2 linked regions of the Astyanax mexicanus genome follow. The protein of the gene in region 1 purifies or fractionates together with the protein of each later gene. This does not show direct contact. Links are inferred from orthologs where the notes say so. Each region holds a gene or a part of one and is shown in the gene's direction. Other genes may lie near its edges. The genes, in order: bsg and gnpat.

Region 1 (12,189 bases):
GCAGATAATGAGCTCTCTGTCTCCTCAAGCCTTTGCTGGATACAGTGGACTGTACTTTATAATTTCATTAATAGTTTTCTTGACTTTAATCTCTAGGCCTACCCCTGGACGCCCTCTGGTTCCTGTAAAGATATAGGTGTGAAAAGGGGATTTAGAAAATACTCTTAATGCACTTGTATCTCATCAATGGATAATAATGGAACTATTAACGCTCTCTGAGCAGTGATAAGGTTACACTTCAGTGTGAATGCGCTGGTGTGTTTTGAGATAAATCTGTGAAGTAAAACTCTTCCCACAGTCTGAACAGTGATATGGTTTCACTCCAGTGTGAATGTGCTGGTGTTTTTTAAGAATACTTAGTCTAGAAAAACTCTTCCCACAGTCTGAACAATGATACGGTTTCTCTCCTGTGTGAATGCGTTGGTGTCTTTTGAGATGATGATTAAAACTCTTCCCACAGTCTGAACAATGATACAGTTTCTCTCCAGTGTGAATGCGTTGGTGGTGTTCTAGAATACCCTGTGTAGTAAAACTCTTCCCACAATCTGAGCAGTGATAAGGTTTCTCTCCAGTGTGAATGCGCTGGTGTGTTTTAAGATAACTCTTATGAGCAAAACTCTTCCCACAGTCTGAACAATGATAGAGTTTTTCTTCAGTGTGAATGCGCTGGTGTTGTTGCAGGTTACCCTGTGCAGCAAAACTCTTCCCACACTTTGAGCAGTGATACGGTTTCTCTCCTGTGTGAATGCGTTGGTGTGTTTTAAGATAACTCTTATGAGCAAAACTCTTCCCACAGTCTGAACAATGATAGAGTTTTTCTTCAGTGTGAATGCGCTGGTGTTGTTGCAGGTTACCCTGTGCAGCAAAACTCTTCCCACACTTTGAGCAGTGATACGGTTTCTCTCCTGTGTGAACCCGCTGGTGTTGTTGTAGATTACTCTGTGTAGTAAAACTCTTTTCGCAGTCTGAACAGTGGTGAGTTTTCTTGCCAGTACTTTTCTGCATTTGTCTGCTAGGTGTAGGAGAGGATATTGGCTGAGTATTGGAGATTTTTCTGGATTCCATCTTCTCCCCTTCGTTCAGCAGATTAATATTTTTGTGAAATCTTCTGAATCTGTATTTGTGAAGCTAAATTATATCCAGGTAAATTCTATCAGTTGACACCAGAGGCATGAGAAGACTTGAAACAGGATAGTATTTATTTCTGAAAGAAACAAAGAAAAAGAAAGCCCAAGATCAGAAAATAAAAATACAGGAGTATCTGAATTAGTGTGGCATTTAACATTTTTTTGTAGGTTTGTAACCTCACTAAACTCTAAAATACACAGATTGTTAAAGTGAACTGCAGTAATTCAGCTGCTACAGTAATGAAATACATCACCAAGTTTCCAAAAACAGTCTCAATGAATAACTTAAAATGAAGTTCAAACATGAGAGTTTACAGAAATCACAATAAAAAGCAGCATTTATCACAAAGGTAATATTACATTTTCTTTCGTGAAGTTTGCTAAGACCTTATATGTTCTATTTAACACACAGCTGCCCCGGTCACATACACATTATGACGAATGTTTTACATCTGGATTTAGTTGAAACACCTCAACTAAAACTTCAACAATCTTATGAATCCAAACTCAACACCTAGCCTACATATATAATGAAAACAATATTTTACACACCAACTACACACTGATGGAATAAACTGGAAATACTACTGTTTTTTTTATTTTATTTTTTTCCCCCACAAATATACACAAATACAAATACAGTGCCCTGCAAAAGTATTGAAAGTGTGAGGCCAGTCTTCTTATCCAAAGGATCAACATTTCAGCTTTTATTCCCAGGTATTTACACTGGATACACTGGATCCGACACACAGTTTAGAAGACAGCAGTTGTTGTCTGATCAAAAATTTCCATGAACACACTCCTAAACCTGAAAAGTCTTACCAGAAGAGCTGACGCTGTTAAATCAGTAAAGGGGCCGATTATATTTAAACCTATGGATTAAGAAAGGGATGTTTACATGCGTGTGAAGGAAGATGAGTGATTTCTTTTGGCCATATAGTGTATATTATATTAAGTAACTCCATTAGAAAACGTTAATGCGAACTGTTATTTCTCTGTTAGAAGGCTTAAAAGTGAGCCACCGGTTAACAGAAGTGCTCCTGAGTAGGAAGAACCCAAAAATACGCAAAGACTGTTTACTAAACAATCACACTCCTGAATGGTTCTCACGCTTTATAACTGCCCCCTATTATCCCACCATCTCTTAATCTACCATCTCAAAATCTCCCACTAACCAGCTCTCAGTAAGAATTCCATTTAACTCAAAAATTAACTAGTATTTTCCACAAATTACTGCACATTAATTCCCACACCGTGGAACATCTACATACATGAATATTTCTACACTCACTACATCTAAATGCTGAATATCAAATGATATACTCTACACATAGTTTATTAATTGATAAACTATAATAAAGATATAGTTTATGTACACAAACAGACTCTGCTGTGGAGAAACACGTGAACATAAAGGAGATATCTCTACAGTTAGCATGAAGGAGTTTATAAACAATAGCAGCACAATTTAAGCCTTTAATCCAGCAGACAGGAGAAGTATTCCCTCAATATTCCCTCAGAATGCAGCAGCACGTTTGGTCTTCAACCAACCAAAACGGGCACATGTCACTCCGCTGCTCATTGAGCTCCACTGGCTACCGGTTGCTGCTCGCATCAAATACAAAGTGCTTACAATCGCCTACAAGGTGATGACAGTACAGGCTCCTTCCAACCTGCACTCGCTCCTGAACTAATTCTAACCTCATCTCCTTCTTCCTCTTCTCTACTCCTCTATCCCATTATTTCCCTCTGACCTCCTTAAGGCCCTATATATAGATGCTTTATTTTTAACTTCTATTATTTTTGTACTTAACCTCTTCTATTATTTGCACTTCAATATTGTAAGTCGCTTTGGACAAAAGCGTCTGCCAAATGTAATGTAATGTAATGTAATAAAGCAACTGTCAGGGGTTGTCAATAGCCCCTTAATCTCCTATCCAGCTTAAATAAAGCAGAATAAAAGTGTTGATCAGAGAAAACTAGGAGAAGATGATCCTCCAGCTCCTGGGTGAAGCTGTTGTGCATAATGTTCTAATTGTGTCTAAGAGTAAGCTAAATGTAGAGCAGTGTTTAGGTGAAGAGTGGAACATCTCCATACCTGCAGCAGGTGAGCTGATGGTGTTTCTCCAGCAGAGCAGTCTGAGCACAGAGGTGTGGAACTGCTGATCACAGCTGGATCTTCAAACCTACCTGTCATAATAAGAGACGTTAAGCATATACCGGAGGTAAATGGAGGGCTTCAGTAGAGCTAGTAGATATGGAGCTACTAGTTAATGCAGCTGCTTCTTAGCTGAACTTTGCGACCAGCTTTTAACTTACAACGCAGCGTCCAAATCTGAGAACTCCTCTTCTTCTTCTTCTTCTTCTTTCGGGTGTATGGTGGATGGCAGACCAACTGAAGGCACATTACCACCACCTACTGTTCTGAGTGTGAAGTGTGATTTCACGAAGAAAAGTAACCAACGATCATTCAAAATATAAAGGTGGAGGGAAAATAAACTAAAATAAATAAAACGGAAAAGAAAGCAAACAAGAAAATTGTATATAAGGTCAAAAATACTAATAGCTTTCAAAAGAAAAGAAAAACAGTTTGTGTGCCCTGTTCCATAAGAAAATAATCTCTTCATAGAAAAATCTTTGTGACCCTTTTCTTTCAGAGCAGAAAACTTTCCATCATTTTTTTTTTATATTTTAACAAAACAGAACATGGACCACTGTTTCCCTCTATGCTCAATTGTGACAAAGCCCCGTAGAGTGTTTCTGTATTACGTGCAAAGTTTTTAGAAACCTTGGTGTTCTGGTTGATGACCAGCTTTCCTTCACACACCTTGTGGCCTCAGTTCCTCGATCCTGCCGCTTTGCGCTGTATAACATCAGAAAAACTGGAGGATTTCTAACGCAACAGGCCACCAAAATATTGGTGTAATGTCATGTAATTTAATACAAAGAAACATTCAATATTTTGTAACCCACCAGGAGCCTAGCGAGTATGTTTTCCTCTGTCCGACCGTACCCTCCACTCCCATCCAAACCAAATCTTGGCTGAAAAGCAAACACCAGTCATGTTAAATGTTAAGGCTCCAAAAAATGCACTCCGCCATCCATGGGCGTGGAAGTGGGGGGAAAAGTGGACCTAACTACCCAGTATGGAGAGGGGCTCATGAAAATCCTGATTTTTTTCTTTCATGTTCTTTGTGTACTGGCATGGATAGGGGCCCACTGCCATTGACAGTATACAGGGCCCATAGTTTGCTGCTACACCCTGCTCCTCTCTCCCTGGCTTCCTCCCTCGTGCTTCTCTCCAGTGTGTTTGTCTCGCTTCCCAGGATAGACTTTGCTTATCCTGCCAGTTTACACCTGTTTTTGTTAAATTTACACACACACACACACACATATATATATATATATATATATATATATATATATATATATATATATATATATATATATGTGTGTGTGTAAATTTAACATTCATTTATAAGTTGCCTGACCAGAGGAGGATGGGTCCCCTCATGTATGTTATCCTTGTGATAGTAAAAGGTACATTTGAGTCTTGGATTCTTCCCCCCAAGGTTTTTTGCCTCCAACAGAGGGAGTTGTTTGCCTCTGTTGCTCACTGGGTTCTATGTTCAATGTGTTGTCTGATTCCTGTGGTGACAACAGCAAATGTCCATGTGCCCCACACACATATCCTACAGGTCCAATATGCAGCATACTTTAAGTCATGGGACACAGTACAAAATCCTGTTTATTGATGTGTGGCATATCAGCAGATGTGTACAGTATATAACACCAATAAATTGAACTAAAATAAAAAAAGTGTTGGTGCTGTTAACAGAACTAGAGCATGGCCTGCATATGGAACTGCCAGGTTTGGATGTAGAGCAGCAGGTGGAGCAGAGTGGTGTTAAGCTCTGCGTGTTCATTTGAAAGGGATTTTGCTTTTGGTTGAATGTAAAACATAAAAGATCCCACTCATCCTGATCCCTTCACCCTCCCCACACTGACCTCCCCACAAAGGCGCAGTGGGACATTCTGTTATTTAAAGTGGATTGGAAAAGCCAAGCATCCACGTTAATGTCTCTTCTGAATGCAGACTTGCTCCTATCCCTGCCCCCCTTCCGTGATAATGGAATAATACAGAATAATACACTCTTTAATCAACTAAAAGCCCGGCCTACTGACCTCAAAACAAACACCTCCACCATGTGTTGCAGGTAGACCCAGATTTTATAGCTTGAAGAAAGTAAGTGCAGAGGGGTCTAGTGGTCAGTGGAGAAACTAAGACTTTAATAAAAAATTAACTAACTTGTAGAACAATTTGCTGTGATTAATCACAATCATTGCACGCTGACGCTTTTAATAATGTATATTTAAATGTAAAATAAAAGAATCAATCAGTTTAATTATTTTATTTTCCATGTTTACAGACACACTAGAACTAATTTATTTTTTACTTAACACAACAGAAAGTACCATTTAAAATGTTTGGACACACCTCTTTTCCTTCATTGTGATTTCTTTCTTGAACTGAATGGAATTATTTTGTAAACAGAAATGTTAAAGAAACCAGAATATGTTTCATACTTTAGAATCTTCTAAGTAGCACATTAAGTTTTAAATATAGATTTGTACACAGATTTTGTATTTTCTCAGTGGCTTCATGAAGTAGAGTCACCTGGAATAGTTTTCTCAGTGTCTTGAATGAGTTCCTGGAGGTGCTGAACAATAGTTGCTGCTTTTCCTTCAGGCTGTGAAGCTCCAGCTCATTCCTAATCACCTCAAATCACCATCTCAGTTGTTTAGGTTTAGTTCAGGAGATTGTGGAAGACAAACATTTTTCATAGGACAAACATAATAATGCTTTTATGTCTTTAATATTAATGCGGAACTGATTAAATCTTTGCACCATGAGTGGCATAAAAGTTACCCAAATGCAGTGGTGGAGGTAAACATGCCAAGATGCATGAAAAATGTGATTTAAAAAAAAAACAGGGTTATTTTACCAAATATTGATTTATGAACTCTTAAAACTTTAGGAATATGATCATGTTTTCTTTGCATTATTTGAGGTCTGAAAGCTCTAAATCTTTTTTTTTTGTCAGCCATTTCTCATTCTCTGCAAATAAATGCTCTAAATGACAATACTTTTGTTTGGAATTTGGGAGACAAACTGTCCATAGTTTATAGAATAAAACAACAATGTTCATTTTATTCAAACATATACCTATAAATAGCAAAACTAAGAAACTGATTCAAAAACTAAAGTGGTATTTTATTTTTCCCCAGATCTGTATATATAAACAAACACACAGTGAAACAAATTAGCTAAGCTGAACTAACCAGCTACAAAAAAAAAAAAAAAACATGACGCAGCGAGACTGGCCGGACGTGGTGACGCACCATCTTTCCATGTGTACGTGCGCGTTCTCGTGCACGTCAGGATCAAATAGAGGACGCCGGAGCTGCGCCTCAGTCCGAGCCGAGCTTTTAACGGAGCGGATCCCCGGTGAAGTGCTGTCAGTGATAAACCCACAGAGAGGCAGAGATGATGCGGCTGCTGGTGCTCAGCGGGCTGCTGCTGCTCTGTGTGGACCAGGCGTTTCTGCGGACAGGTAAAACCCGCAATCTTACCACTTAGCACACATGCTAACACAGCTAACTAGCTGTGTTTTTTTTCTCTCTCTCTCTCTCTCTGCGAACGTAACATTTATAATATTCAGCCGAGACACGGCGTTTTCAGCAGTGGCTGTGGTTATTTGTGTGAATAAAGGAATTTAAATTCGTTTTGGAGCTGCGACCGGTTTTTTTTTCCTCAAACTATTTCTGTCAAAGTCGTTAGCTGAGTGCTAAGCGTTGAGGCCGCTAGCTAATGCTAGCTATGCTAGTCTCGTTTTTCAAATAAACCTCTCAAGCGTTAGAAAACCAACGCTCCCTAGCTTAGCTTGTTAACTATAAAACGGGTTTAAACTCCGTTAAACAACCTAATACATAGTTAGGTTTCATTTAATTTAGTTTATTTGTGTCTTGTTTTACTGACAGTGCCGTAATAACAGCTTATTTAAATATAACTCTTCATACCTCATAGTTTGTTCCTTAGCTCAGTAATTTCGCTTAGCGTTAACTATCTTAACAGAGTATCTCGTCTGCTCTGTAAATCATTAATCTGAATTAATAACTGTAGTTTAACTCTTTTTATTCTTGATAACTGAGCATTAGTTTTGTGAGCTCACTTTACCTTTTACCTTTCTACTTTTAACTGTTTTGGCTAATCGCTCTGCCTCAAAATTTGGTAATTAATCTCAGACTTACTATTTAAATTGAATTGATAAAAATACGTATGAAGTATGAAAGTAAGTTAATCTTTTCTTGATAGTTTTAAACTGCCTTTACGTTGAAATCATAAAACAAATGGGGTCAAAGTAAACCACATACTATGGGATTTGTACATTAGTATTTGGAATTAACAAGCTCTGATAGACTTTGTCATCATCTAACTCATTGTTCCTCTGTTCAATCTCAGTTATTTTTTTGTAAGTTAATTTTACTGACGACTGTTTTCATACAGGTGTTTTACATACACAAAATCTGTGTATTGTTCGCTGTAATTATTATAACAATTTTAGCAAATTGTTTATAAAATAAATAAGTAAATATAATGTATCTATCTTATTGTGGACTATACAAGTGAACTAAGAGATTAACTAATAGGTTCATAATAAACCTCTTTTTATAACTATACTATAGTTTTTATGAGCTAACTTAAATGACCGGATAGTGTTTTCAACAAGTGTTTAAATCACTCAATATCTATGTGTATTTTTCATAGTTATTTATCTAATGCTTGGTCTCAAAATGTTAACATTTAACATATCTGCTTATGTGTCTTTTATTGGATCTTAAGCTTATTGTTAAGGTTTATTTCTCAGGCTAAGGTTAGGACAGGCTAAAACTAATATTTCACCATGTTTAGAGTTTTGAGACCATGCTGGAATTTCACTTTAAACATTTAAAATATTCTGCAGACATTCTCGTTATTAATATCGGTACATTAGTGTGGAATGTATAGTTAGTATATAGGATTGTAAACAGCTCTAACCTGAGCTGTGTGTTTCTCTTGTCTCTGTTTTAATAAGTGTTCTCCATTAAGGGGGATTGATTAGATATTTTGCTGAAAGGTCAAGGAGTTTTTCTTCCCCACTTTATTTATTTTTACAAGGCATATATTTAGTTGTAATGCTGTTAGGGATATTTTATATCTCCCAATACTGTTTAGAGTTTGGTTGTCTTACTTTTTTTATAGTGTGTCTGAATGTTAAGGGTGTGGACAGTAACAGTGGTGTGTAGGTACGTGACTGTCTGGGTTGTGTTGTTTTTAATAGCAGTGATTTTAGTGTTCACTGGTTGTGAGCTTGTTCACAGTGGCTTTTGTTGTTTTTGCCTGTAGTAAACCAGTAACCAGTTGAATAAACAGGGTTTCAGTGAGTGAGATTTGCAGTCAGCAAAACCGGTTCAGACCAGTTAGCTGTGCCCATAGGCCTCGACATGATGGCTGCTGTGAAGCCTCTGATTTGCTGTGAATTGATCGTGGCTGTGATCACCAGGCTACTGCCTGCCTGCTAACTCCTCTCACCACCCCCACCTCATCCATCCCATAACAGTCAATTATCACTGACTGATACTATAGGGCAAGTTATTTTGCATTTGTTTGTGTATCCTGTGTAATAAACAAGAATTACAGTCAATTACGCAACAGTCCAGCCTTCCGTAGCTCTCCGTAAGTCACGTTACTACTTTGTCGTTAGTCTGTAAAGGATTTAAGATAAGCTTATTATAATGTTCCAGCAGTTTTAATGGGCAGTGCATAGAAATGTGAGCGTGAACTTACTGAACTGAAGTGAATCTTCTTAAATACTGTTCCTCCTGTTTTTAGGTCACATGGCAACTCCAAGCTGTAAATTATCTCATTTGATTTGAATGCAAATGAGAAAATGATATGAAAATATCAAGTGACTACTGTTACGTGTTTTTGTAGCTATAGTTTATGTAATATGTCAGGGGTGTTCAGTATGCCCCTAATATGATGTCACAATTTTCAGGGTACATTAGCAACAATATTCTTAATAAATTATTACTTATAACAATCTTCCTCATTTGACAAAACAATTAAATATTGTATTAATTGTATTTATACAGTACTAAAAATACACAAAGCTTATTACTAAGCAACAAAATAAATACTAAATAGAATGCTGCTATAATCAAGTGGAGTGTTTTTTATTGCTTAAATATTATAAAGCAATGTACGATAAGATATGGAACACCCCTAATACACAATATAAATGTATCTAATGGAAGTGAATGAGCAATTTCATTAAATTGATTTATTTTCAACAATGCATATAGAAATGAAATTGCGTGCCTCATACTGTAATTTATTTATCCTCTGAGTAGAAGCTGAATGAATGTCAGTGCCTGTTAATCTACACCTAATCAGCTTCAGGCTCAGTTAGAAATAGTACCACACAGTGGGAGGCTACGTGCTATTCTCCATAGCTGAGGTAAGCCTACATTTAAGCCCAGGCCCTCCATTACAAAGTGCAGTGTAGTTATTATGCTGTTTGCTGGTCTGCCCTTGTTTTGGTGTAGATTTCAGGTAGGCCAGATGAAACTTGTTTTAAGGTTGAGATTCAAAAACATATTAGAATGGGGCTGGGCAGTATGTGTTTGTTTACTACAGCAGCATTGGGGGAATCAGCCAAAAGAAGACATTAGTGCAGTCCACTACTCTGTAGAAATAAGTGGTATTAATCATATAATGCATCAATAAATTACGCTACGTGTCACTTACTGGATTTTTGTTTGATCACTATGTTGTCGCAGAATTTATTGCAGTAAACAATAGTTTTGTCATTTCAGGATCACTTAATCCACTTATCTAAAGAAAAAGTAATAGCATGTTAATATAATTACACCTGTTTGAAGGGAAATTATTGTTGTGTGGTAGATAACTTTCATCTGTTTCACGACTGGCTAAAATGTAAGTAACTGTAAGTAAAAAAAAAAACACTCTTTGGTTTGAAACCACATTGGAATTTCAATACAAACAGTTACATTATTGTGACATAATTTTGCCCCTGTTGCCCAGTCCTAGGTTATGGCTGATTTCTTTAGTTGCCCTGGTTATTCAGTGGCCTCTTTGCCTGGAGAATTCCTCGGAAGGCAGGCGAATGGGCCTCATGGCTGAGTGAGCCAAGCCACAGCAGTTCCACATCAGAATTAAAATTAGATTGTCCCTGGAGCCTTTAGCTCGGCACAGCTTAGAAAATTGGGTTAGGAAGAGCACACCGGTATTTGTCCTCAGTTGAATAGGCTTTCCATTTTTTAATTGGAGTGACGGCAGTCTGGTGACGGCCATTTTGCTGTCCGAGTGCAAGAAAGTGCTTGAGGGGCTGATTCTCCTCACGTGTCCAGTTCCCTCTGAGTGATTGTGTAATATACAGTGTTGTAATTCACACTTCTGCTGCTCTCTCTTATTGTTAACTGTTGGAGTGCAGCCTGAGTTTAGTTTAGACCTGGTGTTAGGCTGTTTGTAGGGCTGTGTAGAATCTGTGTACCTGTGACTTTGACCTACTTGTTTGTGGGATCAGAACTTGTCCCCAGGCAGCTGGATGCTGCTCCTCTTTGACTGTATTATAATGTGTGTTTTGTAATGTGTGATTGGATTTCTGTAGATCTGTTTGATGTGATCTTTGGTGAGTGTATGTAGTCATTAATGTCTGATGGTTCTCTAATGATCTGGTTCTCTGAGTGGGGGTAGTAGGGGGGAGGTTTAGGGTGGGTGTTGTTGTTTACTACTTAAAAACAAGTTCACAGCCTGTTCTCAGACTTTGGACCCAATGAAGACTTTGGCTAAAATCAACCAGTTTTGAGTGCTTTGTGGTGTTTGATAATTTGTGAGCTCTCCAGATTTAATGTTAGGACAAGTGGGCATAGAGTGGAAATGTTTTGTATGAGGGGATAAATCTTACCTTGGCAACACGAGACAGGACAAGATGTTTGTTTAGTCAGAGCTAAAATATGTTAGCCATCTGAATGTGACCTTTGATGATGGCTGTACCAGTTTAAAGAGCAAAAGATCAGGTTAGTTACACTAAGCTCATTTTACTAGTAGTGCCACTTATAATATAGTGTGGTTCCTATGAGTTCTCTGATGCAAAAAATGTGGATTTGAGGCATAGAATGAGTTTCAGATAATTAAAAAAAAAAGAACTCAACGCTGCCTTTTATCCAAACGTTAGCACTTGCACTTGGCCTACTATGCATGCTTCTGTGTTTGTGCACATACATCACGGTTAGTGTAGTGGACCATGGATAATCTGCAGTCTATTCAGCACATCTCCCATGGATTGGGACAGATGAAATGCAGATTAGTTGCTAAAGTTTAACCATAACTAACACTGGTGTTTTGCTGCCCCAGTTCATTTTCACAGTAATTAATTTCTCAAGTTTGAGCTTCAAAGAAAACATACAGACTAAGCGGCTGTCTGTAATGTGTACAGAGTATATGGATATTAAACACTGAGCCATGAGAGCTAGAAGGCAACTTGTCAACCAAACAGACTCTTGTCTAATTAAAAGTCAGTAATAAAACAAATAAACCAATATGATCTAAAACGAGCTTATCTTTTTTCTGTTTTTGCTTTTTTTTTAGTCCATAAAGTTAAACTTCAGATTTGTATTATTTTTATTTTTTTAAGGTTGCACCAGGACATTACACCAGATCTGGGCAATATTGTAACAATACTTTTTACAATATTTAAAGAAATTTTCACAATACACCCTATTAACATTGATCAAATTTTCACTTGCATGCACTGTCACAAAATTATTAATGAAATAATTCAGTTATTTAGTGTTTTTATTAAAAATGTGCTGAACCTAATCCGATTAAACAGGATTAATTGCAGTTTGTGTAATGAATTTAATTTGGTGTTTTTTAACTGCTGATTTGATGTGTATATTTAGTGATCCGTATCATTTGTTACTATCAAATTTACCC
Region 2 (12,980 bases), on another chromosome or scaffold:
ACAAAATGATTATGAATACACTGCTTTATTATTCCTTAAGTGTTACTTCAGGGGATGGATTTAGAATGTTGACTGGTGTAGAAGTTGTGAGGTGTTATCTTGTGAGTGAGCTTGAACACGGAACAACATGACAAGGTGTTGTGAATTATCGTATTTGGAGTCTATTTTGGAGTAAAATAGTCAGATGGATCTGACCATTCTTTTTCTGAAGTTGTGCAGGTATTTTGTTCACAACCACCCCCGGTGAACAGAACAGTTTTCAGTTTCTGGCTAGAATTGTCTGTGCAACTCTAGCAGAAACCACATCCACATTCAATGCAGGAGACCCCACACATATCTTGCAAATCAATGCTGAATCATTTATCTTCCATATGCAAAACAATGAAAAACAATTAACCATTTCACACCAAACCTCACACTGAATCTGTAACATTTCAACCACTGAGCTATGCAGAAATTTGAAAACATGGGTGGAGTTTCCCTTCAGAAAACATTGGATTCTCGTGTATTATTTATTTTTATATGTACATTACAGTAAACTGAAGATCTGTCTGACTCTGCAGTCCATGATAGACCACGTGTGAGGACCCTACCAGGTTCAAAAAAGATCTTTTTCATCTGAAACATCAGACAAAGCACATGCACGGCCCTGGGGAGCCGCGTAACCTCTCTTTGTACTGCGCCACAACAGAAGTAGGCCATTAATCTCAACACAGTTGTGCTGAGCCCTCTAGGGAAATACGAGTGTGTGCGCGTGTGTGCGTTTTAGATGCTGTGCTGCTTCTTTTTTTTCTAAAGCTAGTGTATGTGGTTTCTCCTTTCCTCCTGCCAATGTGAATGTTTTGTACTTCTCTGTGGTTTGTATATTAAAAAAATAAATGAAAATCTCATCGTCATCAGTATTGTTTCATATACCATCCCAACTGTGATGTGTGTCAGCTTCACTTTGAATCTGACATACACACATGAAGAAATATATTTATTAACACAGGTATTTTTTGACAGCTAGCATTGCATATGCACTGTCTGTATCATACATGTCCTATCCAGTTCCCATATTCAACAACACTAAATAATTCACAGCTGTACACTGCATATTCCCATGATGAAGCAAGAACAAGCAGTGGAGCACAAGTCCTAGTCCCAGTCATATTCCAGCTGGTCAGTATTGTGGGAAGACCACATCATCGCTTTTTCACTTTGGTGTTTATTTTCTGAATGTCTTTGTTGCTCAGGACCAGCATGCCATTCTTAAATCGTCCGACTTGTCCCGCTGGATCGCCACCTGAGGAGCTGGGCTTGCGCTTCTCTGTCCTGTAAACCAAGCAAAAAATAAAAAAGTTCATTAAACACTGTTAAAACCAAGTATAATTTTTTTTTTTCAAGAAAAAACTATTTACTAACCCACAGTATTCGATTTGTTTTCAGTTCACTTAAGCCAACATGAAACTAATTTTGCCCCATTACATTTAAACATAACATTATCCTATACAAAAGTCTACCACAATTACATACTTTTGTTTTCCAGATTTTCCACTTTTCTTCTTCGTTCCCGTGGTGTCCTGGAAAATATCACAATTATTAGTCAACAAATGTAATGTTCATAAAAGAATTAAGACTTGTATTATCCACAATGTTGCAGTTCTTTAATGCACATACACACAGCATCTAACATACATATACTGTAGATCTCTAAAGGTAACCCTTTAACAACTTACAGGGTTCGTCTCCTCTTTTTCTTTCAACTTTTTCTCCTTCATCATCTGCTGATACACTTTGTAATTTACATATTCCTTCTTGGGAGGCTGGAAGGGAAAAGAGGGAAAACACAGTTGATTACACTTACCAGTCTACATTCACACTTTAGTGAATGTACTTTAATGAACTTTAATGAACACTTCAGCAGAATGCCAAACGTGTGGCAAAGTTTGGAAAGTATACTAGTAATAAAGTAATATATACTGATTGGTTGCTGCATACAGATCTGAAGGAGTGTGAACGTAATTTATGTTGAAATCAATTTTATTTATTTATAAATGTTTCTAACATCAGTCCAAAATTAACTGAAGACATTAAGGAGGAGGGTGATGAGGTAGAAGAAGTGGAAAAATAAGAATAGGATAAAATGGCATCAAGAAGCTGCTTGATTTTTGAAGTAAAATATTCTTCCAAATGCAAATTAAGAACAAGCTTTGTTTTAGACCTAATAAAATAAAATACTTGGATCTGTTGGCCAGTTGTTCTTTTCCACTTCCAATTCCAATGCACCTATGCATCTATGTTCATAATTACTTAATGTTTCTTATCTCTTTCTGGACTATTCATTTGCTTCCCTCAACCCCATTCATCAATCAAAAAAGACCATCATAGGACAACTTATATCCAGATATTATCTGAAAGGTGGCGCAGATCTGCCAATCAAACATGTCCAGTCAGCAGTGGTTCTGTGGCCAGCGGTTCTGAGCTAGAGGACAGTGGACACAAATTGTGCATCAACAGGTAGTTCTACAGTCACTGTACCTCGGCAAGGTGGAGCTAGTCTGATTCTAGGCTTATAATCTTTGGAGTTTGTCTTGTTTCTTGCTGTTTGTGATCATGAGGTCCAGAACAATAATTTACAACCCAAACACAAAAAGTGTTTCTAATTGGTCAGAACAGTGAGTGTGGATTTTACCTTACCATGGTGATAATTCTTCTGTCATTAGCTCTAGATCATCCAGTTATCTTCCAGATTACATAGCTGACCGAGCTTTCCATCTCTATTATGTAACTATTCTGATCATTTTTAATGATATTTTTAGATGTAATCGTGTCATTGATTTTAAAACAACAAATCAGAGGTTATGTATTTTAATTCATATATTTTAAACTGTAAACCTTCTACATTTTGATTTTAACAGTTAAAATTCGGACTAAGTAATTACTTTACCATACTTTATACAGTTGTGTAAAAAGCCACACATGGTATAATCTGATTACACTTTTAGAACTTTTGAGAACAGTGCACTGTTTATGAATGCAACATATCTACACAGTTCCACTATCGGTTCACCCCTACTAAACTTTTCTACCTTGTCATGACCCATAAAGTAATTATTCCCAACCTACCCTGGCTCCCAGCATAATGGCCCTGTCCTGTTCAAAAATTCTCTGCTGATGTTTCTGAAAGCCTGTGATTCCAAAGCGGTGCACCTCCAGTCGGGCCTGTGGATCAACAACAAAAACAAACAATTAAAGAAACAGACCACCCAAACCTGCCAAGAAAATGATTAAGCCTATTTAAAGAAAGAAATAGATGTTCACTGTAGAATTACTCACTTATTACTTACTGGGTGATTAAGTCCTAAACCATGTTTAATATATAAGATCCCTCAAGGTATGCATTATACAATGAAGCAGTAAAATAGCCTGAATTTTTCATTTGAAACAGTATTACCTTTTCGATGGTTAGCTCTTCATCTGGGTTCTTTTTCTTTTTGTCCTGTACTTGAGGTGGCTGGTGATAGACATAAAAGAGAACATGATGACCACAAATATACAAAACAAATCAGAATGGTTTATACCTTGAAATAATAACTTAAATCATGTGTTTTCTGCAAACACCTCACTAAATAAAAAATCTTTCACAGGTCTTCATTCATTTTGACACTTTTTTTTACCACTATATATAATATATAATACATTAAATAACCTAAATGTACAATTAAAAGTTTTTACTGAACATTTAACCAGCTTAAAGCAGTTCAATACATTCACCTTTGTAGTGCTATTCTAATCATACATTTACTTAAGAAGTGTAGTTTTAATCATAATCAGATCACAGTTTCTGTATCGATGCACCCCTCGTTAACATGATGACCCTGTCTTGTTCAAAAACTCTGTGCTAATGTTTCTGAAAGCATGTGATTCCAAAGTGGTACAGTTTTAAATCATGAAGCTACTTCAGCTGTGCTTTCCTGATGAACATTTGCCTCAGTAGTGCTACGCAAGTGTCATAAGTGAATTTTACACAGAGAAACAGAGTCAGTATTCTGATAAAAAAAAACAGATATTAAGGCTAAGTTAGCTAGCGAGCTCAGACAAACTTATTATCCTATCTCTAGCTCCCGTCTTTCAACTGGGGAAAAAAAACTGTTGTGGAAAGTTAATAAATGGATACTGTGGGAGAAAGGGGTGTAGAGTGAGGCTGCTGCATTAAATATTCCCATTTTAAAAAAATTATCTGTTTAAATTAACAATAAAATAAATTAATAAAAAAAAAAATCATGGTCTTTTTACTGATTTGGCCAAAGACAGAAAGTGCTTTTTTTTGTTGTTGCAATTTTTAGTGCATCACTACAATATATTGACCCCACCTTGTTGCTCCACCATGCTAGAGTACACTAGGGGTCATTAATCTTAGTCTTTGAGGGCTGGTGTCCAGCACACACTGGCAAATTTCCTACTCACACACCAAATAAACCTGCCAATATTTGTGTGTTCGAGTAGGGAAGCTTTTTAGTTCAGTGGCAGAATTGATTATATCTCGGCCTTCTTCAGAGGTTAATTCCTGGCTACAGTGCTGCTTTTTGGCTGGATACCCACTAACAACTCCAAGGAACACAGCTCTGCTTAATACTGTTGTATCTTAACTACACACACACCACTAGGTCAGTTGCAGCTGTGCTGAAAATTATCATCAAACCATATAAAGTTAAGTCAGCCGTAGTCATGTGATCAGAATCTGACCAATAATAAATGTGTTGGCCAGGAACTAATAAACTGTGCAACAGCAGCTGGGTACAACATAATGTGCACATAAAGTGGTCTGTAAGTGTACACTTGTTACTTACTTTACTGTCCAGTTCAGCAGGTCTTTTTAATTTGTTTTTCTTCAGTGGATCCTGAAATGTAACAATCTCTACATCTGATGCTATCGCTGGACTTTTGGACGTGGAGTCTGGATGGTTTGCTCCATTTGCGTGATTCAGATCTGCTGCATCTTTTATACTACTGATCTTATCCTCAGAATCCCCAAACTCCTCTGCAGTCTCATCATCTTCATCAGGAACTCTTTTCCTTGTTTTATCCTTTTTCTTTGATCGATTTCCCTTTGATCCATCTCCTAGCCAAGCAGAAAAAGAGAAAGTGGGGTTATTTTTTGCTTATGCTCACAACTGTAGTTCTCATTCTCCAGGCCAGAATAACACTCACAGTAGAATGAGTCTAGAATGATGATTCCCTTTTTTCTTTTTTGCTTCCAGATCCACTTTAGCTTCAGCATCAACACAAGTAAGATTACGGAAAACTGCATGTAACTTTAAACTGCCGGAGCAGTTCAATTATTAGGATGCCCTGCATTAGTGAAGTGTATTAGGAGATAAATTAAAACGGACTAGCTGTACTTATATCACAGTTCACTTTTCAATCTTGATGTAGTTGAGGGGATGAGACATAATGAACAAAGTTAATGAGCAAATGTGTATTTTGTTGTGATACAACTTTCCTAAACTGATAACAGATTGTATGAACTCTCTCTTAGTAAGCCTACTTTTTATTTTAGCTATGCAGCTACTATTGTTATTCTAGATGTAATCTTTAATAATAATTATAATTCCTTAATAATTAATATATAGATCTTGAAAAGCATTTTTTCTATATATGTGTATAGTTTTGTTTTATATCAGTTGAATTCATTAATTAATCAGCTTACATTTTAAATGAATAATAAACAGTATGTATAACATACTTCTCATATGAAGAAAAATACTTAAAATAACCCAAACAACCAACTATACCATATAGAAAATAAACATATGCACAAAATGCCATTATAAATACGCTGGAAATATAAGAAAAAGTCCAAAATATGTTTTGAAACTTAATTTGAAAATATATGCAAATTAAAATGTAAAGATACATTTGAAATGTTTGCCTAAGTACATTTATTTTACATTTATCCATTTATTTACTTTCTGTGTGGGACAACAAAAATACAAACTAGGTAAGTTAGCTAGTTAACGACATAAATAAGCAATTCACGAATAAGACGACATTTAAATAATTGTCTAGCTATAAAATAACAAAGTAGCAACACAGCAGTAATACCAAAAACTAAAAGTGGTAAAAGTAAAATTATTACACAAATACACAGTATTATAATATACACAATGCATTAAATCAACAGTAATAATAAGAAAATTAAAAGCAGAGGACTTTTATAGTAAATATGTAGTTCTTGGTAATCCAGGTCCACACACGAAAATCCATTCCGGGATTTTGTTCCAGCTGCCAGAGCGAATCTGCTGCAGCTCAGCAATCCATTAAGTAGCTAACGCAGCTGGATTAAAATCCCGGGCTGGATTTCCACTTTCTGGACCTGGATTAACCAGCTCTAGCACTGATGGTACTGAATGAACGTTAGCCTGCCTGCTAGCTAACAGTCATCTGATCAGGTTTAATGAACACTAACCGAAATCATAGAGCTTATTCAGAACTCGGTCCAGAAACTCCTGATCCTCGTCTCCTCCCTCTTCCTCCTCTCCACGCTCTGCTCTGCTCCGCTTCATCTCCGCTCGGTCTGAACACGGCGCTCTCTGTATTTAATCCGCTCCGGATCTCTCTCACACACACGTGTAGTAAACACGCCCCGGCTCCCGTACTCCGCGCTCTGTCCTATACCGGCCACCGTCCGTCACCTCGCGTTTCACTGAAGAAGAAAATGGCTTTTAGTGGTGGGTGTTTTTAGTGACAACACCCATGTGGATCCAGCAGTCCGGTCACTGTTTCAGACTTTAGCAGCCTCTGAGTGCGCGCTCAGGTCATTCCCTGCAGGATAAACTCGCTCACCCATGATTTATTACAGACTGTGAGTCGGAATGGCTTCTAAATCTCTCTACTCGGTGAGTATCACACATTTATATACACTCAGACCCAGCTGTCAAACCAGCCTGACCCCTAAACCAACCTAACTAGATTCTTACAGCTGCTGAACTCAGTTTAACTACAGCTGCACAGATTAAATGATTGATCTTTTATCACCTCATATAGTTAGAAACACTCTGAGAGGGATTCCTCAATCGGAGAGATCAGCTGGAACTGTTTTAAGAGTTTAACGTAAGATTGTTTAGGGAAAAAACTCTTGATTTACACAGTCATAGTAATTTGGTCAAGATTGTTGTCTGAAGTTGGTATCACTTTATTTGGATGGTTCATTATAAATTCCTTATAGATGCTCAACTAACATTCAACTAAATATTAAACTAACATCCAACCGCATGTCTATTAAATGCAACTGAAAGTAGATGATTATCTACTGAATGTGTCACTACATCCAATAATTCTAATCTTCACATTTTAGGGTTAGATTTGGGTTTAGGATTAGATGTAGGGTTAGATTTCCTGTTTAGGGTAAGGTTTTGGTTAAGTTTAGATTTTAGTGTTATTCATGGTTGAGGTTAAAATTAGTGAATAGAATACAACAAGGACAACATAAATTAAAATAAATAAATAAAAACTACTTTTCTAAGTAAGAATTTTTGTGTCTTTGTGTTTGTCTCTTGTTAGCTAGCTTGTTAGTTAGCTAGCTAGTTAGCACTAGCAACAGCTAGTTAGTGTTAGCTCAGACATTTAGCTAACAAGGATACAGCATGTCATGATAATCATAATGCACTCCATATATCCAGGACTGAAGTAAAATAAATGATTCTGGACAGATAGAATCTTTCTCAAGAATATATTATTTAATAGGAAATGAGAACAGTGTGATTTGTTTCTTTTGCTACAAACAGCAAAAAAAGTTGTACCCTCATGATCTCAAATTAATGTCACAATATTCCAACATCGCCACACCTTTTGCTCCATCTCAGCTTCTAACACACCCAGCATTGCTTTACCCTGGTCCCGGGTCCTGCTCCTACTCCTAACACACCTGATCCTAATGCCGAGCTGTTCAGCTGATCAACAACCTGTTATTGATTTAAAGTGTGTGTTAAGGCAGGGAATGCGCTAAAATGTGCAGGGCAATGGGCCTCCACTAACAGGGTTGTGAAGCTTTTTAAGCTTTAGGACACTGTGTATATGTGGAACATATGTACTGGATTATACTGAGACTGGGTTGAGAAACTACATGATAAGTACTGCAATTCAAATCAACAGCCATAAAAATGCAAAATAGTACATTTTGATCCTATCACAGATATAGCTACAGTATATTGGTAATTATAGGGTCAAACAGTCAAGACAGTATTCAAAACAGCTTAATCTCTGTGATGTCTCTTCTAGCTATGCTGATGTTTCTATTTGTGGACTTGGTTTGAAGCTGTTTTTATTGCAATGACCTCTTGGGTGTCCGTTATTTGTAAACTACATTAATCTCATTAGCTTCAGTTCTAAAACTGGAAGCAAAAGGAAGCAAACTTTATATGCCAAACATACTTAACACATTAGAGCCCAGAACCGTTTCTAAATATTGATACCAAATTAAAAATTTAATTTATAATTTAAATTAAGTGAGCATCTTGTTAATGTTTGTTTCTTAATGTGAAAACATGACTCTAAATATTATCAATAAACACAGATTCACACACTGTCTTGTAATGATGCTCTCATGATGATTAGTAAATGTCGCTTAGGGACTTCATGAGTTAAAGTAAAAGACAGAATGCTGTAATTTCCACAGCTTTTAAAGGATCTGTTACATATATGTTGCAATTGGTTATTTTTGGATTAGACTTGTCAGCTAGCTACATTCAGTTCAAATGTAGCTTTTTTTTGTTTGATTTTTTTTTTGGAGTACATCCCTGTTTGCATGTTTCAGCAACCTGTTGCAAGCTTTTCAGATTTGGAACTGGTCCTGCAAAATTAAACTTACTACGTTTAAAAAAATTAAAGGCTGTGTGATGATGTATCATAAATTTCATAAAACGTTCTTTTTATGTATCTTCTGTGTTTTGTCCTGTAGCCCAGGGACCCGGTGCTGAAGAAGAGGGACGATTTTGAGGATATTCTTGAGGAGAGACGAAACTCCAGTGATTTGAGATATGCTCTCAGGTGCTACACACCCGCTCTCTATAAGGGACTGGTTCCATGCAAGGCCAGCATGCTCAAAAACATCGTCCTGCAGTCTGACTCTCTACAGTATGTCATCAGCCAGGTAAAAACACTCTACACAAATGAGCATCTGAAGTACGAGGCCGAAGCTGGCTCGGTTTGCCTTCAGTATACTGTAGTTATTTTTTTTTAAACAATGTACACATCACTCTCTGTAGGTCTCAGCAGAGTGTGGTGAGTCTCAGGAGGCGGTTCAGGAGGAGGCGTCCTTGTTACTGGAGGAAATGGCCCACCGCCTGCAGCTCGGCACCATCCGCTTTTTCGCCTTTACCCTCAGCAAGGCCTTCAAAGTACTCTTCCATAGCGTGTGTGTCAACGAGGAGGGCATTCAGAGGGTGAGTCCAGCAGCTGATGCCACTTTCACAGCTATATATAGAAGGCCAGATGCCCCAATCATGAAACACTTCTGCACTACGCCTGGGCTCTGTGTTTAGTCTAGTAAGCCAGTAAGAGTGTCCAGTTATATGAAGGATGATGGTGACTAGTTTTGTCCAAAGATAGCTGGTGTTGTTGCAGTTTGGGCTGTGTGATATAATAAAAAAAATATATATACTATATGAAAAAAATCAAATAAAGTTAGTAAGTATCTATAATTAGTTAACAATTATAAATTGTTTCTGATTTAATATATAGATTTAAAAATAAACACTGAAGGCAATTTCATACTTTGCAGTTTGTCACTCAGCAAACTGCACTGGATTAAATTAATTTGTAATGCTGCCCCTTTAATTATGATGATGACATAAAGTACAGAAGAATATACTCTGCTAAGTGTCATCCCCCCAAAAACCATTTACATTGTTTTAAAAATATAAATTAAATAAACCAATTAAATAAATTTAATAGATGTAAAATACATCTACAAATTACATTCATATTTACAATATACTGCCCAGTCCTAGTTGCAGTGCTTTATTGTGAAAATACAGGAGTGCACTTCATGAAACACGAGGAGCCGAGCCCCCTAATATTCATGCATAAATATATTATATAGAAAGTCAAGCACTTCTAATGATAAAAGCAATGTTGTCATATCTGCCGTCATTCTTATTTAAATACCAGTTATTTTAAAAAAGGTATTTTCTTCCCTAAATAAAGCATTTATTTTCCATGTAATACCACAGACAGGACACATAAAAACAAATATGAACCAAAAGGACCCTGATTGGTCAGGAACTTGGACTTGAACAGAGTTTATGTTTGTTAATGTTATCAGAAATCGCAAACATAACCTTCCCCACAGCAGGTTAAATGTACAGTATAACTGGCAAAAAATCCTTCATCATGAGACAGACCCCATTTCAGTTGTTTGAAGACCGCGATAAACTGATTACACAGAGAAATTCTGGTGAGCTCTTTCTTGGTTGAAATGAAAGCCTAATTGTTTGTGGAAGGTAGTTGTCATTTTTCCTGTTTCAGTACTGTTTCAGAATATTTCTGTGAGGTTTTTGAGTGATGTTAACAATATTAGTATATGGATCTATATAGATACAGTACCAGTCAAAAGTTTTTTTCTTTTTATGATTTTTACATGGTACATTTAATATTGAAGACTGTATTAAAGCTACACAGGAACACTTGTGGAATTATTGTGTAAACAAAAAGTGTTAAAAAACAGAATACTTTAGATTCTTCTAAATATTAACATTTTTCTTTGAGGACAGATCTGCACATTCAGTATTTTCTCATGAGGGAGAGTAACCTGGAATAGTTTTCTCAGGGTCTTGAAGGAGTTTCTGGATGTGCTGAATAATAGTTGATGCTTTTCCTTCACAATGTGAAGCTCCAGCTCATCTCAAATCACCTCAAATCACCATCTCAGTTGGGTTTAGGTCAGGAGATTGTGGAGGACAAACACTTATTGTTTACTGCATATTTCCATATGTGTCCTTAAGTGTTAGCATGTCTTTAATATTAATCTGAAATGTAGTAAATCAATTTAATAATAAATAATATTATTAATAAATAAAGAAAAACATTGAATGAGAGGGTGTGTCCAAACTTTTGACTGGTACTGTATATAGAAGTCAATCTGTAGAAAAAGAAATGATCAATTGCTGGTCTTTGCTCTGTTTTGTTTGAAGAGAGCTGAACCAGTTCCAGTTCCAGTACCATATCGCCACCTTGTGTACTGATGTAGCAACTGTCCAAAGTTCAGAGAAATTGTTGCTGAAACAGAGACACTACCTAAGAGGTGTAAACATCTTGCCATCTATAAGGCTATGTTCAGGTGCAATCCCAAATCTTATGTTGTATCTGTATCTTTATCCTCAAACAATCTATTTAGATCGTATCTAGTTCGATTTTAGATTTTAGATTTTAAGATCTAGTTTTGGATTTTTTACTCTGGACAACAAAAACACATAAATATTACATTTCAAAAACATGTTTGGAGGTGGTTTAAAATAAGTTTACAAATCAGATTTGTACAGATGCGTCTGTCTGGACAATCTGGACGCTCAAATCGGATATCAAAGTCTTCACAGTGTGACCTCTGGTCTGATCTCTTGCAAATAACAGTACTAAAATTCCCTTTAACTTTGAGGCTTTGCTGTGTTGATTATTGCATTGATTATATTTCTAATTTTTGTTTAATGTTTGTATTTTTATACCTTATTATACTATATATATATATATATATATATATATATATATATATATATATATATATATACTATATTGTACATGTATATAAAAGGTCTGTTCATGTAAATATAATCAAAAGAAATAATAAAACATCTGCTGAGATTACATTTTCTTGCTTGATAACCACTACCACTTTTGTGAACACCGCTGCATTTGATTGATGTTGGTTTACATTTTACTAATCAGTTGTATCAATCATTGTTTCCAGCTTCAGCAGGCCATTCAGGAGCATCCAGTGGTTCTTCTGCCCAGTCACCGCAGCTACATGGACTTTCTAATGATGTCCTACATCCTGTACACGTATGACCTGGCTCTGCCTGTCATCGCTGCTGGGATGGGTGTGTATCTGAATTTTGCAGCAAAATTATTAAATCAATTGATTTTTATTGTTTTTATTGTACTGTAACCCACTTTGAGCGATCTAACCTGAATTTAGATTGCTGCAGTTTCTTTGTTTTATTTTAGATATTGGGGGGTGAGGTTGAATGCTTTGGGGTTCATAATAATGACACCTTGATAATAATCAGTTAAGTGTGTTTGGTTCCAAAAAAATGCTGTGTTTTGTTACAGATTTTATGAGCATGAAGTTTGTTGGAGAGATGTTACGGATGTCCGGTGCATTTTTTATTCGCCGCTCATTTGGGGGAGATAAACTGTACTGGGCGGTCTTCTCAGAATATGTAAAGACCATGCTTAGGGTAAGGATTCTCCAGTTATCTATTCTATCTATAATTTCTTTCATTCATCTGTATAATAATGCATTCAAACAAGCCTTGGCTGTTACAATTTTCTTCAAGCTACTTAAATGTGTGATTAATTAGGCATGCAGGTTTTAAATTTAAAGTGTTTGTCAGCTATGTTCGTTTACTTGTTGGGTACATTAAGCCAGGCAAATATGAAATTTTGTATCTCACACTGTATGTTTGAAGCGTCAGTTGTTTACAGGTATAAGGGACCTCCAAACACTGGAATGCAGCTAGCTGCTCAATGCTAGCTAACAGCTAACAGTGTAGATAGTAGAACAGTAAAATAGTCAAGACAGTGGAATATGGAAATGGTTAAATACTAAAACAGGAATAAACACACAGCTCTAGAAAGAATTAAGGTACCAACTTCAGTTTCTGAATCAGTTTCTCAGATTTTGCTAATATTGTTGTTTTATTCTATAAACTACAGACAACATTCCTCCCAAATTAGATAAAAAAATTGTCATTTAGAGTATTTATTTGCAGAAAATGAGAAAT

The links.
Region 2: the proteins of bsg (region 1) and gnpat purify together in Homo sapiens (affinity purification with mass spectrometry; 3 studies listed by BioGRID and IntAct, counting the BioPlex papers as one, with this or other methods). This does not show direct contact. The link is inferred for Astyanax mexicanus from reciprocal best matches to the Homo sapiens genes BSG and GNPAT.

What each region holds. Positions count from the first base shown.
Region 1 is NC_064423.1:16,791,673-16,803,861, forward strand, and holds the start of bsg (basigin), read left to right. Parts: upstream 1-6,556; 5' UTR 6,557-6,675; coding exon 6,676-6,742; intron 6,743-12,189.
Region 2 is NC_064408.1:45,654,530-45,667,509, forward strand, and holds the start of gnpat (dihydroxyacetone phosphate acyltransferase), read left to right. Parts: upstream 1-6,702; 5' UTR 6,703-6,857; coding exon 6,858-6,881; intron 6,882-8,941; coding exon 8,942-9,133; intron 9,134-9,248; coding exon 9,249-9,425; intron 9,426-11,944; coding exon 11,945-12,074; intron 12,075-12,306; coding exon 12,307-12,434; intron 12,435-12,980. Other genes in the region: c1h1orf131 (uncharacterized protein C1orf131 homolog), read right to left, coding at 1,185-1,314, 1,516-1,562, 1,719-1,805, 3,109-3,204, 3,437-3,496, 4,833-5,104, 6,452-6,548. UniProt on the Homo sapiens protein: Dihydroxyacetonephosphate acyltransferase catalyzing the first step in the biosynthesis of plasmalogens, a subset of phospholipids that differ from other glycerolipids by having an alkyl chain attached through a vinyl ether linkage at the sn-1 position of the glycerol backbone, and which unique physical properties have an impact on various aspects of cell signaling and membrane biology.